Lonchura striata: one gene and its partner. The protein of the gene in region 1 interacts with the protein of each later gene in a pairwise test. Links are inferred from orthologs where the notes say so. Each region holds a gene or a part of one and is shown in the gene's direction. Other genes may lie near its edges. The genes, in order: LSMEM2 and LSMEM1.

Region 1 (7,795 bases):
TGTGGGAAGTGGGGGTGATGTGTGGGGCCCTGGACAGACGTGTCATTCACACCGGGGAAGCAGAACCAGGCGCTGTGGTTGGTCATGAGCCTGGGCTGCTTCCTGCTGCGCTGGCACCCGGAGCAAAGGAGCCAGCAGCAGCGGGCAGGGTGAGTGTGAGCAGGGTGGGCGTGAGCAGGGTGAGGTGTGAGCAGGGCGGGTGTGAACAGTGACTGAGCAGGGTGACTGTGGGCAGGGTGAGTGCAGACAGGATGGGTGGGTGAAGGCAGGGCGAGTGCAGGCAGGTGGATGGCAGGCAGATGCTGTTGGAGTCTGGCGTGGCTTTGCTGGGCAGACAGAAGGAAACCATCAGGAGTGCTGGTGGGATGTGGCCTCTGAAAGGGACAGTGCCGGCTGAGCTGTGAGTCAGTTGTCTTGGAGCTAGGGGGGTGACCCCACCATGCCTCCTGGGTGTGGGAGGGCAGACTCGAGCCCTCCCCAACTGCCTTAGGGGAACTGTAGCAGTTTGCTCAATCCTAGTTAATCAACCGGCGTGGTGGTTTCTCCTGCCTTCTGCCTGTGGCTTCTCCTTTGCAATAAGAACTGCCAGGCTGAGAGAGGGGGTTTTCTGACCCCTCAGAGGCTATTTGGGTTTCTCAGAAGCATGACTCTGAGGACATGTGTGATGAGCTAGCTAGTCTGATGGGTGCCAAAGTGGCAGGAGCTACTGGCAGGGGCTGGGGAGGAGGCACTGTGCCTCCTGCCCCTCAGCTGATTTGGCAGTGTAGACCTTTCTGCAGGTCTCATGGCATGATTTCCTGGAGCTGGCACCATCTGCCATTTCCCTGCCATGAATCTCTTGTTTGACCTTGGACCTGCCAAACCTCCATGAACTCATCTGGCTGTGCCAGAGGGGAACTGCGCCTGTGCTGGGGCCAGTGGCGGGCTGGGGAGAACACACGCATGGTCTGTGCCTTACTACCTCTAAGCTGTGACCTGCTTGGTTTCCCGTCAGTGAGAAGAATGGGTTCTGTGTCAGAGGAGCTCAGCTTGGTCCCCTTGCACCAGAGGCCGGAGCTGCTGGAAGCCTGTGCCAAGCTGCTGGGCGAGGAGTGGGGGAAGAGCCGGGCGTCGCGGCTCCACACGCTCCAGCGCTCCTCGGACGCCTTCCCCACCTGCCTGCTGCTGCTGCGGAGCCGGGCCCCCAGCGAGACCCCCGCCGCCCGGGAGGGGCCCTGCGAGCTCGTGGGCCACGTCCGACTCTCCCGCGTGGTCAGCCGTCCCCACGACCTCTTCGTGGAGAGCGTGGTGGTGGCCCGGGCGCTGCGGGGCCAGGGCTATGGGCGGCGGCTGATGGAGGCCACTGAGCAGTGGGCCCGGAACCGGGGCTTTCGCTGCCTGCACCTCACCACCCACGACAAGCAGCATTTCTATGCCCACCTGGGCTTTGTCCTGGGTGAGCCGGTGCAGAACGTGGCCTTTCTCAGCCCGGCTATATCCTCTGAGGTGCTGCGGCTCTTCTCTGCCCCTTCTGGGGCTGCCACTGCCCCCTCCAGCAGGCCATGGGTACCCGCTGCCCCCCCACCTCCCCCGCCGCCCCTCACTGTCCCCCCACCGCCTCCCCCACCGACTGTGATCTGGGCGAGGGGTGTCCTGGCTGAGAGCAGCGAGCAGAGCCTCCTGGAATCCCCACACCGCGATGCCAAAGGGCTCCCCATCTTCTGGATGAAGAAGGACATCTGAGGGTCTGGGGCCCCGAGCCGGTGATTAAAAGCAGTGCGGGCGGGAGGTGCCCGCCGCAGCGCTGCCTGACTGCCTGCCATTCTTCAGGGCTGGCACCAGCTCCCCCAGTCTACATGGTTCACCCTGGCCCCATTGTTGGGGCAGGGGGGTACTGGCAGGGAATGAGCAGAGTTCCCATACCCTGTCCTACTTGGGCATGCTGCCTCTGCTCCTGCCTGGCCTCCAGCTCACCTGGCTGGGGCTCTGGGACCACCAGCATGGTGGGGAGCCGGCCCACCCCAGGCTGTGGGGATGGCACTAGTCCTCAGGAGCACCGCCCAGTCCCACCAGTGTCTCCTCTACTCAGGATTTGCTGTGTGTCACCTGGGGCTGATGGAACGTGGTGGCCTCCAACATGCCCACAGCTGCTCTCACTGAGCAGTCTGGGGAAACTGAGGCACAGGATGGCTGGGGGGGCACTGTGGGAGTAGGGCATGGTGGTGGGGCTGCAGAATCAAGTCCCCTGCACTGCACAGTGAAGGGGGCAGGTGGCCAAACCCCCACTAAGGCACCGGCGTCAGTGAAGGCCAGAGGCATGGGAGCAGGAAGGTCAGAGAGAGCGTCCAGTCTCACAGTGAGGGATTAGCACTGTCCTTGCTGTATCACGCGGCCCTGGGCCTGTTCCCTGCCTAATCCCCTCATTCTGGGCAGTGGGCCAGTACTGGGCAGGGGCTCCAGACCCCTCTGGGCCTGCCTGGGCTGTGAGGGACAGAGCTGCCCCTTTGGCCCCACCATGCCTCTTCGGGGGGACTCAATCCTTCAGCAGGTCACCCAGCCTGGCTCAGCACTGTGCTGAAGTGGGGACCAGGGAGTCTTGGTGCCTCCACTACAGGCAGGACTGGGAGGCAGCAGGGAAATTGAGGCACCAGGGTCAGTGGCATGCAGTGCCACTCCCGAGCTGTGCCATGGCTGTGGTGGTGCAAGCAGGATCTCAGCACCAGAGAGCAGCAGGCAGAGGTAACAGTGGCAGTGCTGAGGCAGTAGGGGTCTCAATCCCCCAAGTGTACCCAATTCTGTCAGGTTTTGGGGTGGGCAGCATGTGCTTGCAGGACAGCCCAGCCAATCCTAGTCCACCATGTGCCAGGGGGGCAGTGCCTGCATTGCTGGAATGCCCACTGCATCCCACAGCCTCACCCCATGGCTCTCCTTTCCTCACAGGGTGCCGGCCCCGCAAACAACTGGTGAGGCGGGATGGTGCTGGTGCTGGCGCTGTGGTCCTGCCTGGCACTGGGCACAGCCAGTGAGGAGAGCCCGGCACCCAAGCCCCTGGCAGGTGGCCAGCCCTTTGCCGTGGTGTGGAACGTCCCCACCGGGCGCTGCCAGCACCGCTTTGGCATAGGGCTGCCCCTCAGCGACTACGGCATCGTGGAGAACCAGGGTGGCCACTTTGCTGGCCAGAACATCACCATCTTCTACAAGAACAAGTTTGGGCTGTACCCCTACCTGTCACAGCACGGTGTGCCCCATAACGGGGGCCTCCCTCAGCGTGTCTCCCTCGACGCCCACATCAACAGGGTGGCCGAGGACATCCGCCTCCTCCTGCGACCCGCTTTCCATGGCTTGGCCGTGGTGGACTGGGAGGAGTGGAGCCCTCTGTGGGCACAAAACTGGGGAGCCAAAAAGATGTACCGGACAGCCTCAGAGCAGTGGGTGCGGGACCAGTACGGCGTGCTGCCGGCACGGCAGCAGCTCCGACTGGCCCAGCTGGAGTTCGAGCAGGCGGCACAGGCTCTGATGGAGGAGACGCTTCTGGTGGGCCGAGCCCTGCGCCCTGGAGGGCTCTGGGGTTTCTACCGCTTTCCCGACTGCCTCAACAGCAACTGGGCCAAGGTGGCAAACTACACCGGGCAGTGCCAGCCGGCGGAGGTGCAGCGTAACAACCACCTGGGCTGGCTCTGGGCTGCCTCTTCTGCCCTCTACCCCAGCATCTACCTGCCGCTGGCGCTGCCGCCCGCCCTGCGCCGCCGCTACGTGCACCACCGGCTGCGCGAGGCCCTGCGCGTGGCCGCCTTCGGGCCCGACGGCCTCCTGCCCGTGGTCGCCTACTCGCGCCTCGCCTTCCGCCGCTCCTCCCGGTTCCTGCACCTGGTAAGCGCTGTGGGGCCGCGGCTGCGATGCGGGGTTCTGGGTGGCACGGGGACAGAGGCTGTGTCCCCCAGACGGGTCACGTCTCTGTTCCTGGCAGGCTGACCTGGTGCACACCATCGGGGAGAGCGCGGCACTGGGAGCGGCCGGGCTGGTGCTCTGGGGAGACATGTCGTACTCCCGCTCAGCTGTGAGTATGGCAGCACTGCAGGCAGCAGGAGATGGTGTGTGTACAGGGTGGCCATATCCCCCGTGCCCACCAGGGAGGGCTGGCCAGGTCTCTGTTGCTGGGGGGCTTCTCACTCATGCTTCCTCCCCAGGAAAGCTGTGCCAGCCTGCGCCACTACCTCGTATCCACTCTGGGTCCCTACGTGGCCAACGTGACGGCAGCAGCCCGAGAATGCAGCTACGGGCAGTGCCATGGACACGGGCGCTGCGTGCGCCGGCAGCCCCACGACCTGGGCAGCCTCCTGCACCTTGGCCCCGGTGCCGGCCCACGGGCTGCCTTCCGCTGCCACTGCTACCGTGGCTGGGCAGGTGAAGACTGTGCCCAGCGGGTATGGCACAGCCCTGCCACCTCCTGCCAGGTGCCCATCCACGCTCACAGCCTCTATGGGCACAAGGATCCCACATCCTCTGACACCTGCCTGCCACAGGGCACGTGGGGCTGGTGACAAAGGCCAGGGACCGCCATGGTCCCCTACTCCAGCAGTGCTGCTGCTGGCTTTCCCTATGGTCTCATTAACCTAAATAAATTCTCCTGGCACAGCGGGCATGGTTTTTGTGTGCAAAGCTGAAGGATTCTGTGGTGTCCCTATGCAGGGCACAATTGCCATTGCTGCTGAGAGACAGCACAGACCCCAGTTTGGCTCTGGATGGGGCCAGCAGTGCATCAGCTTTCCTGCATGGGCTCTGCCCTGATCCCATGAGCTGGCAGCCCCTTTACTCTGGGAAAGGGGACGTGGGGCACTGCCACAACCTGCTGTCCCTTTGCCACTGGCACCGTGCTGCCAGCAGCCCTGACCACGCCACCAGGCCCCCCTCCCCATAGCTATTTTTATCGCCCCCCAACCGTGTTTCTCACTGTCCTATTTTAAGCAGCGCAGTTGGCGCAGCGGGAACCCAGTGCCCAGCTCCTGGGGGCCCTGCACCACCTCACTGCCCGCTCACACTGCCCAGGCACGGGGAGCCATGCCCAGGGAGGCTGCAGAAGGTACACTGGGGAGTGGGCTTGGGGCTGGTGGTGGCTCTAGCACCCCAGGGGATACCAGGTGATGCAAGGCTTTGGGGTTGGGATGGAAGTAGTGGACAGATGGTGCCCTCTGCCATGGGGTCTGTGGGCAGAGATGCCTGCCCAGGGAAGAAGGGGGTCCTGGAAGGCTGCAGGTGTAGGGCAGCAGGGTTTGGGAGGGCACTGGCAGCTGGCACGTACAGACCCCTGCGCCAAACCTATGTGACCAGCTGTGCCCCCCCACCTAGGGCAAGTGGGTGCAGGGGGTGATGTGGGTACCTGTGGAGCAGTCCCTGGCCAAAGGTAGGGGTGTGGGGAAGGTCTGAGGGGTCTGAGGGGACCCTGGGTACCAGCTGAGGCCCCCAGCCCTGGTGCCTGCCAGCCCTGTGGGTGACACACAGTCTGGACAGCAGCAGCACGGCGCCACGCTGCCCTGCGACATGCCACTGACCCCGGGAGGGATTGGGAGTGGGCACAGTGCCAGCCTGCCATGCTCTGCCAAGGGCACAGTGCGTGGGCCCTGCCCACTGCTCAAAAATACACAAACACCTAGAAAATAATCTTTTCCCTCAAACCCAATGCAGGCATGGTTGCTTCCCAAAACAGTGCTGGAGCATGCCTACTTCCAAAAAGCCCTCCCAGTCCCATGTGACGTGCTCACTAGGGCAATGGGCACTAGGGCCCCCTGGCACAGCATACACCCCACATCTACATCTGTGCACCCCCAAGCAGCATGGTATCTGCAGGGCAAGCTGGGCCACACCACAAACTGGCACTGCTCTGCACCTGCCCACCAGCTTCCAGCTGGCCCTTGGAGCCCCAGTCAGTCCCACAGTGCCTGGGCTATCCCGGCTGGGGGGTGGCACATTCCTGCCCCCAAGCCAGGGCCAGATTCCAGCCCCACTAACAAGGCTCCGGGATCGTGGCCACCAGGCACCCGCTAACTGCTCTGATGACAGCAGTGGGGCCAGGGGGGGCACAGCCAGCGCTTGCCCACTGTGGCTGCAGGGCTGGCCCAAAGGAACACCAGTCTTGGCTGCCTGCCCTGGTGCAGCACCAGGCTGCCAAGGCTGACATCCCCCTGGCAGGGCTCTGGTGCCACAGGGGTGCCCAGGGCAGGCAGGGGCTGTGGGCAGGGCACAGGCTGACCCTTTGCCTCTGTTCCAGCAGACGGCGTGGGAAGGGCTGAGGGTGCTGCGCCGGCAGAGCCTGGGGACCCCGACAGCAGTGAGTCCGGAGCCATCAGCCTGCGCCCCGTGGAGTCCATCAGCGACCTGTACTGGGCCTCGGGCGGGCACAAGGGCACAGAGGGTGAGAGCACTGCAGGGGGCTGTGCAAGACCCAGCTGTGCCTGTGGCCAGGCTCTGACCCCTTCTCTCCCCTGCCTGCAGGCAATGGCCCGGCTCCCTCCAGCAGCCTGCACCGGCCTCCACCTCGGCCCGTGTCACCTGTGTCCCCGCCGCTCCTGCCCACCCTGCGCCCCGTGCCCCCCGCCAGCCCCTGCCCTTGCCTCGGCCCTGGCCACCCCCTGCTGCTGGCCCTGCTGGCGCTCCTGGCACTGTCAAGCCTGATCCTGGCCACACTGGCCATCTACCTGAGCGGTACGTGGCACTGGCAGGGTGGGGAGATGGGGCATTGTGGGGGCCCGACCTGCCACCTCAGCACGCTGCCATCCTCTCCCCGCAGTCCTGCAGAGCCAGTCGGTGCGGGCGCTGGCCCAGTGGCTCGAGAGCCAGGAGGACGCCGTGCACCAGCTGCGGGCAGCCAGCAGGCAGCTCTGGGCTCGCCTCAACACCAGCGCCCAGCCTGGCGGGCACCGCTGAGCTGCTCCTGCTCCCACCATGGGCTCTGGGCCGCCACGGGAAGGGGCACCGAAGGGCAGGAGGGGGGAGCAGGCAGCTTTACCCACAGAGACTTGGCAGCATTGCCCCTTGGGGCACAGGGGCAATCCTGGACCCTGTCCCACAATGCCAGAGAAAGAAACTGGGCTGTAAGGACCTGCATCCGCCCCAGTGACAGCCCTTCCTCTTAACAAGGCAGAAGGCATACTTTATTTAGCCTTTTAATTACCTCTTACAATCAAAGTCTTAGAAAATCACCATGATAGATACATTCCCAGGGTGGCAGGCACTGCCAACTGGCATGGCCCCATGCCCGCCTGGGCAGTGGCCCCCCCCATAATTAATTTCCCACAAGATTACTATTTCATATAAAGCATTTGGCTGGAAAAGGGCTGAGAGTGGGCAGCTGGCAGGACTGGGCAGAGCTTCCCACTCCACAGTGCTGTCACCATCACGATGCCAGGCTGGCTAGGGAGGTAGGGGCTGTACCCAGCATGGCAAGGTGGGGAGAATGCTCCTGCCACAGCACAGACACCAGGACCAGCTACTCTGCTGCCCTGCACAGCTCTGCCCTCCCACCCACCCTTCAGACTGTGCCAGGCCACCCTGGTGCCGCTGCAGGACTGGGGAGGGTGCACACGAGCCCTGCCTCTGAAAGGATCTGCAGAAGCTTGGGTGAGACCCCCTCCCACTGTGCCACATGGATCCCCAGCCACAGAGCAGGCACACGGCATCACGCCACCACCTCCCCCTGCTCTTCTTTTATCCTTCCTATTTTTTGGTTAAAAAAATAAAAGAGGGGGCAGCCCCTCCTTGGGGCAGCTCCAGGCATTAAATACTCTGCTGTACAAGAATAAAAGCCCGAGGGCTGGGGGCA
Region 2 (8,025 bases), on another chromosome or scaffold:
GAAAGTTGACTGTTTTTTAAAAAGCTTTGTAATCATGAAGAATATCAGCTTCAAGTTCTATGTGAAATTTGACTGTAAGTATGCATCTGCTCTATGAACAAATACAATCTTTAGCATATGTATACTTTGTTATTTGGAAGGTTTTGGTGTGCCAAATTTATCAGTCAAAATAAAGTTCATTGAGATGTTTAAAATTACTAGTACAAAAGACTATTTAAATTGAAGTTACAGGTGTTGTTTCCTTTGATTCTTGCATAGGAGCGTGACTTCCCTACAGAGATGGTGAAGTTTGGACCTGAGCGCATGTATATTGACTGCTGGGTTAAAAAACAAACTTATGAGACGTTCAAGGAGGTTCTGGGGTCGGGGATGCAATACCATTTGCAGGTGAGTTGCTTTTTGACATTTGCTCAGACTGTTCCTCTGTGTCTGGCTTCTTTGATGTAATCCAGTCTGAATTACAAAATCCTGACTCGAACTTAGTGAAGTGATGAGCCTTGCATTTAAGGTGTTAAAGACAGCACTTAAAAAATTAATGACAGTGAGCTGCAGCTGTCTGGGTAAGCTGCTTCTGAGTTGTAGCCTGGGTGTGCTAGTGTACTAATTGATTTCTCCATAAGAAATTTGAGTATCTTTTTAGCTTTGGGGTTTTCCCTGAATCCTTTGCTCTCTTTCAGCAGAGTGGTATAGTTGTCTGGCTGCTATAAAGCTGCTTACCTCCACCCTTCCTGTTCAGGCCTGTAAAAGAAAGGGAAAGTTTTAGTAAAAAATAATGAACACAACCCAATGGTGACAGCATTCCAGAGGAGGCAGAATGCATCTTCCTCTGTTGTGGGAAATGCTTGTTTACTGGTCTTCTCTTTACATGTGTAACAGAAGCAGGAGCTGTAGTTTAGGAATATATGCTCCCAAATTGCTGTGATAATCATGGGGTTAAAATCTTCAGCCCTGTGTTAATTCAATTTCTGTGTGACTGAGGGAGCTCAGGCATGTAGCAGGTTTTTCAGTTTTCTCAAGTACTACTTTCACAGCCAGATATTTTAAAACTGGTGTGTTGTGAAACCATACAGGTCTGTTCAGCTGCCTGATTTTGTGTAGAACAGAACAGTGTCTCATTTGCTGGGTCAAAAATATCAAAGGAGGCATGAGGAGCTGTCTATCTTCTCAAGGTGTCTGTTTTCGCTTTTAGCCCTATTCTAGTTAAAGGAGGACATGTTCTTGACTTACTTGCAAAAGATAGCAGCAATTTGACACAAATCTTGGTATTTTTTACTGGAATACTTGATATTTTACAGTAGTCAACTTTAGAGACTTGATAATTAGAGGGGAAACTAATAATTTGGTGTGTTTCTTGTTTAGTCAAATGACTTTCTTCGGAATGTGTTTGAGCTTGGTCCACCAGTAATGCTGGATGCTGCAACTCTTAAAACAATGAAGATATCCCGTTTTGAAAGGGTAGGTTATTGCATCTTAATGAATTTTCTTTACTTCATGTCTAATTACTCCTGCCTTTCAGAAGCTGTCATTGTTGCGCTGTAGTTCTAAGAGTTCCTCATATTGTCCTGAGTGAAACCAAGCTTTTTTTGTATGCACCTATGAGCTCTTAGATTTTTCAGTGGGCATGTCTCTGCTTGTGTGTTTTTTCCAAGGGTTGCTGAAGGTTGATGTGGTTGCTGCTGGGTACTAGATTCATGCACCACACATATGAAACTTGGTCTCTTCTGAGAGCTCTTGGGGAGGGACCTACAGGAAACTGAGTCTTTATAAAGATGGTATCCCAAACTCTGTAATGTGAAATGGGCACTAGGAGGTTGGCCTTGTTCTGTTGATTGTGAATGCATTAATCCTGCATATAATCTGGGGAATGGTGCTGTCAAATTTAATCTGGGAGTAAATGTAACCTACATGGTATCTGCTTGATCTTAAAGACTGGCTTCCAGAACTACTCATAGTTCAGCCTTTCTTATTCAGGCCAGTATCTGTAAATATAAATTAAATATGTCTGTCCATATTTATATACACACACACAAATTAGCCTTTGGTGGAAAGATAACATACCATAAATTTCAGAAGACCTACCAGTTCAAGTCAAATTAATGAAAGGGTATTTTCATTTGTTTTGTAACATGAAAAATCTCTGAAGGGCATAAGCTTTATGATAATATGTAATTCTTTTTTCTTTTTTTTTTGTTTTGTAGCACTTGTACAACTCTGCAGCATTCAAGGCTCGGACAAAGGCTAGAAGTAAATGTCGTGATAAAAGAGCAGATGTGGGGGAATTTTTTTAGATTCCCTCTTCATTGGGTTTCAATTTTCATAATTCAAATAAATTTGTAACATTTAAATGAATTTTTTTAACTTCTGTAGTCAGTTTGTAGTTGTGCACGGGTTTGTTACATAGTCTCTAAATATAACGCATATTGTTGCTTAGGTGCGTGTACATTGTATATAGATGGATGTAACATTTGGTGCAGGGATACATTATAATACCATACATTAGCCCCCCACTAGCTCAAAGGTCGATTATGTTGTAACTGCTATATTAAATGGGGTGGATAACTGTAGTCAAATGCTGTGTGTCAGATTGGATTCTTTATATAAAGGTAAAGTAATTCATTGACCAAGTGTTCTGGTAAGAATGTGCTAATAGGATAAGATGACCATGTTTCTGTGAAGTTTATTTTAGTAATTTTTTAAAACTCTCTGATGGTAGACAAGAAATCCCTATGTAAGTGTAATTTTATCCTGACAGGGACTATGAAGTTCAGGAACTTCCACTGACAGTGAAGTAGTGAATGACAAATATTTGTCTCCATGTAAAATAAAAGCAAGATTTTTGTGTTCTGAAATTGAATATTTAATTTTTGGAATAAAGATGTTTCTCACTGCCTGCTCTCTGTGTAAAAGTAATTATTCCATGAATGAAAAGCAGTAACACTGGCAAAACTTAAAATATGAAAGGGATGAGTTTGTTTATTTTCTGGTTCAGACATGTGTTTGGGGTATTATCTGTTTTAGTAGATGCCATGTGCAAGTCTACCTTGCTGTGTTTCAAAGGTGTCTTCTTCTTGCATGTGGTCTGCACAGCTGCCTAATCTTGATTTGTCATTGCTTCTCTAATGGTCAAAAGCTTTCTAGTTTTGGTGCTGTAAAACATATTCTCCTTTATTTTAGACCCATTCCCTGTGTTCATTATGTTGGGAACTACTCTTCTGGTTCTACAGGACTGAAATGTGTTAGTAGCTGAGAACTGTCTTAGCTACTTGGGGCAGGGGGTGTTATGTAATAAAGACACTAAAACCTATATCAGTGGAGCTTCTGAACCTGAAGAAAAAAGTGCTTGTTTGAATAAACCACCTTAAAAATGTTTGTCACCAGATGATGTAAACATGGCATTAAAAACAGCACCGCCCCCTGAAAACTGGCCTGCTCTGATAAGAGAAAGTTGGGTTTGGGGTGGAGTAGTTGTTTTGGTTTTTTTTTCCCCTCCAAGTTTCTGATTACAGCTGAACCTATTCCAGAAAGTCAATGAATACTAGTAAGTTGTACTTTCTAATTTAATCTCTTTTTTTTTTACCCCTCAAATAATCTATGTAAGAACTTGTTTGGCTTGCAAAACAGATCATTTGGACTATGCAAAACCTTGAACTGAAATCTATGATGATTGAGCACATCAGTGTCATGCAGGTGGAGAAAAAACATCCTTGAATGAGGTGAAGCTGTGTGTGCCTGTACTTGCCTGGCCCAAGGCCATTCCCTTGGAGCTAAACTGTTCCCTTGAGCCTGTTGGTGTCTCCTGTGCCTTCTGCCTGGTCACCTTTGGTGTCCTTTGCCAAGCACAGGCTTCATGTCCAGTGTTCTGCAGCACCCCCTGGCAGGGCCAAGCAGGTGGTTGCCCTTTTCCCTGTACACTGTAACTGCCAGCTGCAGTGACCTGTGTGGCTTCTAGTCCTGTTGCAGAGGTGGCTCTTCTGCAGCCCTGCAGACATCCCTTGGGTTTGCAGATGTTTTCAACTGGAGAGGCCTGGGTCCTTGTCTTAAAATTATTTTGGTGTTAGGAGTTTTTTGGGCATGGATATCATACTGATTTTTTTTTTTTTTTCTAGCTTGTACATCCTTATTTTGATGGAGGACTTCCAGGAGACTCCTACAGAAAGGGAGCAATTCTGAGCAGCAGAACATGTCAGCTTAGGGTGGGAAATATGAGTCAGGTGATTTATTCTCTTGTTTCCTGAGAAAGAAATACGTTTATGGGCAATTTAAAGGGATTCAGAATTTTAGATGTGGTATAGCTTCAGAAAGGATTTGTGGTTTTGAGCTGCAGTCCTGCCTGTCAGCTGCCTATCAATACAGTGTGCTGTAACACTGCCTTCTGCCATGTCAGCAAGTAAAAAAAAGATCGAAAGAACTGTCAGCAAAGGAGTAATTACGCTACTCACCACCAGTTCATCAGAATTTAATCTTTGAACAGCTAAGGATGCCAGACAAATTAGTCCACCACATAATACTGTCCCACTTGAATTCATAAAGTGTATGGGAGAACGGGAACAACCCTGCTTTTTCTAGTCTATGACTTTAAAACCCTCATGACTGCAATACTGTAGATATGACTCTTCTGCATAGCAAACTGGTTACTCATGGCTACAGTTGTAGATACTACTCTTCTGCCTAGCAAATGCATTTTAGACAAGCACTAAACCTAAGAGGTTTGGCACTAACCAAAAGATTAGTGAAATACTGATCATCAGTAACAACCCTCATTATTCATGATGGAATATTATCATGATTCCAATATAATAAAGAAGAGCTGTGTATGTGCTGATTTCTGTTTTAGCAGATCAATATTACAAAGTGAGTATACTTAGCCAAGATGAATTCTAAATATAGACTGAGAGGGGCAGTCTGTTTCACAGCTATCTTTATGGGTACTGCAGGACTTGACAGGCTCCTATGGGACTAAAAGTAGAGGAACTGCAGAACAAGTTTTCTTCATGTGATTTTCACTGGCTGATTTCTTCCATACTGGCACATTACTTGAATGTAATTATGTTGTAAGTTATGTTTCATTCTCATATTTTTTAACCTTTTATATTTCATTTACTTTTTTTTTTTTTTCCTGTGAAGAATTTTCAATGTGTTCTTATTCTAAGTTTTTTTTTTTTTTCCACAATGACTTAGGATGAAATTTAAAAGTTGCATTGGGGAAAAAAGTCTTTAGGTAAGGTTAAAGTACAAGATAAACTGAATCCAAAGGTCCCAATGTTTATATTGCTTTGTTGGGAAAATAATCAATACTTTTGTCCAGTGACACATGTTTGTATCCTTTCTCCTTTGGCATGTCAATAGAATCAAACAAATGTAATATAAACTATTTTGAATTAATAATGGTAATCTTCACTGTGTTTACATGTGCAAATAAATAATAAGTGCAGAAACATAGAATTCATAATACTAATGAATCAAAGGTACTCACATTTATTGCAGCTCAAGTAGTTAAGAAGTGTTCCCTGAAGCTGCAGGGAGGTGTTAATCAAAACAGAGAAACAACTGCTCTTCTGAATCTAAAAATAACCAACAGCCTTTGTGCATGAAGCGGTTACTTTTGGCATGCAGTTCAAACACAGGGCTCCACAGTGACTGTGTTGCCTGAGGATGTGCATGTGGGGAGACAGCAGAGCAGAGCCAGCTCTGGTGGGACGTGGCTCACAGACTGGGCTGCCTAGTGCTATGTCCTGCTCTAAGGGAAGGACCGTGGGCACAACTATCTGTCCTGAAGTTCCTGTTGCACACCTAAAAATCACAGACTAGGTAAGGTTAACCCCTGTCATGCCAGCTTTTCTACATTTTCTTTGTACTTTGAAGCAATGCTTCTGAACAGAGAAAAAAGTAAGTTGTAATCTTTTCTTATGGGCTGTTAAAAAGAAATATTTAAGTATCCATATAGTCTTGCCAGTCTCTACTAGCAGGAGAACAAGCCTTGTTGTCAGTATTGCTTTCAGTGCTTAGTCTTCAGACTTACTGAGGTTGATTGAATGTCTGCTTTGCAGTGTGCTCAGATCTGGGGGAAATATAGTGATCTTCTGCATTTGGTTTGATGAGGGAAGGAGTGAGGATTTTCTGCAAACGGTTCAAATTTTAGGTTTTTAATTTTAGTGTTTTATTAGGAATCTGGTCACACTGTGTTCTGTATTCCTTGGAGAGGAAGAAAAGGCTCAGAAGCATGTCATGTCAAGAGGACAGTTAACCCATCTAGGATTCAAAAATCACCCTTAGGTGCTTAACACGTCATCAAGGGAGGTTTGCATCCCACAAAGTGCTGATTTATGTTGGCAGATAAAATTGAACTTGGGGGCTTTATAAAATACTAAATGGGTAAGATGCATTGTACTCCAAATTTAAACTAATGTGTCAGGGCTCCCTACTTACATTCACTAGCAATAAAAGCACATTTAGGCTGTGATTCTAAGGTGAGAAAGGAATATCTTAGAATAAAAGGGATATTACCTAGAGGAATATTTTTTTCTTCAATAATTACAAGGGGAGTTTTCAGTGACAATTGTAGACAAACATGCCTACTTAGAGTGTCTAAATCTTCTTATGGCTAGAAGTGTAATTTGTTTCTAGAAGATAATTTTGCAATCAGAGCAGTGTAAAGAAAAGCAAAAGACAGGGAACAATGTGCAATATATAGAAGCTGCCTCCCTAGATACTGCTTATTTTCTATATATAATCTTGTTTCAAAACTGTATTTATGTTAAGAATCATTCACTGAGTTCATGCACCCAGACTCTGCAGAGAAACTTTTTACTAATTAAACTTAATCTAGTGCCTTTTTTAAAGCAATGGGTACTAGTCTGAAGAAAAAGCTTTTAAAATTTGTGAAAAGTGTGACCACATTTTTCACAAATAATAGCTTCACAGTGATATTCTAAGGTGTATAAACAGACACATACTCTTGTTGCTTCTGGTTTATCTTCCAATTACTTGATGCTGAAAGAAGAGAACCTGAGTGACATCCTTTCTGGAAGTGTTAGTGAAGGTTTGATTTTCACTGTGGTCAGGATCTCACAACACGTCTTACCAAGTATTCATCAAATCAAAGGATAATATACTAAATATGTACCATTCAAGTCAATGCTGGAGCCAGTCAAATTGACTCTTTCTTTCCCCACACACACACGTATGTGCACAAACACAATGTAAAAATGAAATGTTTTAATCATTGAAGATTTCCAAGAATGAACAAGTGCTATGCCTTCAAGTAAGTGTGCTGGTCCAAATCTCTGTGTTTTAAGGACCGTTTGGGCTGCTCAGTATTTCCTTAGAACAGGATACCTACTGTTACAAGTTATTTCCCACAGCTGTGTGTTAATTTACCTTTTAAATTATTGTTTCTTTTAGAGACAATGGAGAGACCTTCCTTGGAATTTAACCTGCCTGATACTCATGAAGAAGGAAAACTTTATGTAGTTGATTCCCTAAACAACCTAAACAAACTAAATGTTTGCCCAGCTGAATCCCAACTTTCACTAGGTATGTATGATAAGTGATCTGTGGATTTCTAAATATACAATCCATATTGTGTGCCACTGCTGTCAACAGCCTAATAGGCCAACAGGTATGCCAAGCTGTACTGAAAAATATAAGAAAAAAATTGAAAATGGCATGATTTAGGCAGATCAGATAATGATTTAGCTGTCCCTGCTGAGTGTTTCTGCTTTAGGTTCTTGAAAATCCTTGCATTTAGTTAGGGATTTACTTTGAAACCTGAACTTATCTTCCATTTCAGTTGGGATTTATGAGGTGATTTCTTGCAGGATAATGTCTCTAGTAATGCCCAATATACACCAACTAAACAAATAGCATCATAGCTCTTCCCAAGCACTAAAATTCATATGTGGCAATAGAGGCACCTGAGAATTTCTGTTCATTCCTTTAAGACACGTCTCCTAAGAATTCAAACCAGTTACCTGAAGTATCCTGTGAAACCTTTAAGCATTTTACTTTCTGGACATTCTTTACTCA

The links.
Region 2: the proteins of LSMEM2 (region 1) and LSMEM1 interact in binary tests that used the Homo sapiens proteins (3 or more experiments, as listed by UniProt). The two-hybrid records come from large-scale screens. The link is inferred for Lonchura striata from reciprocal best matches to the Homo sapiens genes LSMEM2 and LSMEM1.

Annotation. Positions count from the first base shown.
Region 1 is NC_134614.1:10,327,909-10,335,703, reverse strand, and holds LSMEM2 (leucine-rich single-pass membrane protein 2), read left to right. Parts: upstream 1-5,037; coding exon 5,038-5,059; intron 5,060-6,247; coding exon 6,248-6,388; intron 6,389-6,468; coding exon 6,469-6,678; intron 6,679-6,763; coding exon 6,764-6,900; 3' UTR 6,901-7,215; downstream 7,216-7,795. Other genes in the region: HYAL3 (hyaluronidase-3), read left to right, coding at 2,953-3,849, 3,947-4,036, 4,167-4,520.
Region 2 is NC_134607.1:36,457,683-36,465,707, reverse strand, and holds the start of LSMEM1 (leucine-rich single-pass membrane protein 1), read left to right. Parts: upstream 1-4,919; 5' UTR 4,920-5,051; intron 5,052-7,401; 5' UTR 7,402-7,406; coding exon 7,407-7,533; intron 7,534-8,025. Other genes in the region: IFRD1 (interferon-related developmental regulator 1), read left to right, coding at 259-387, 1,360-1,455, 2,199-2,288.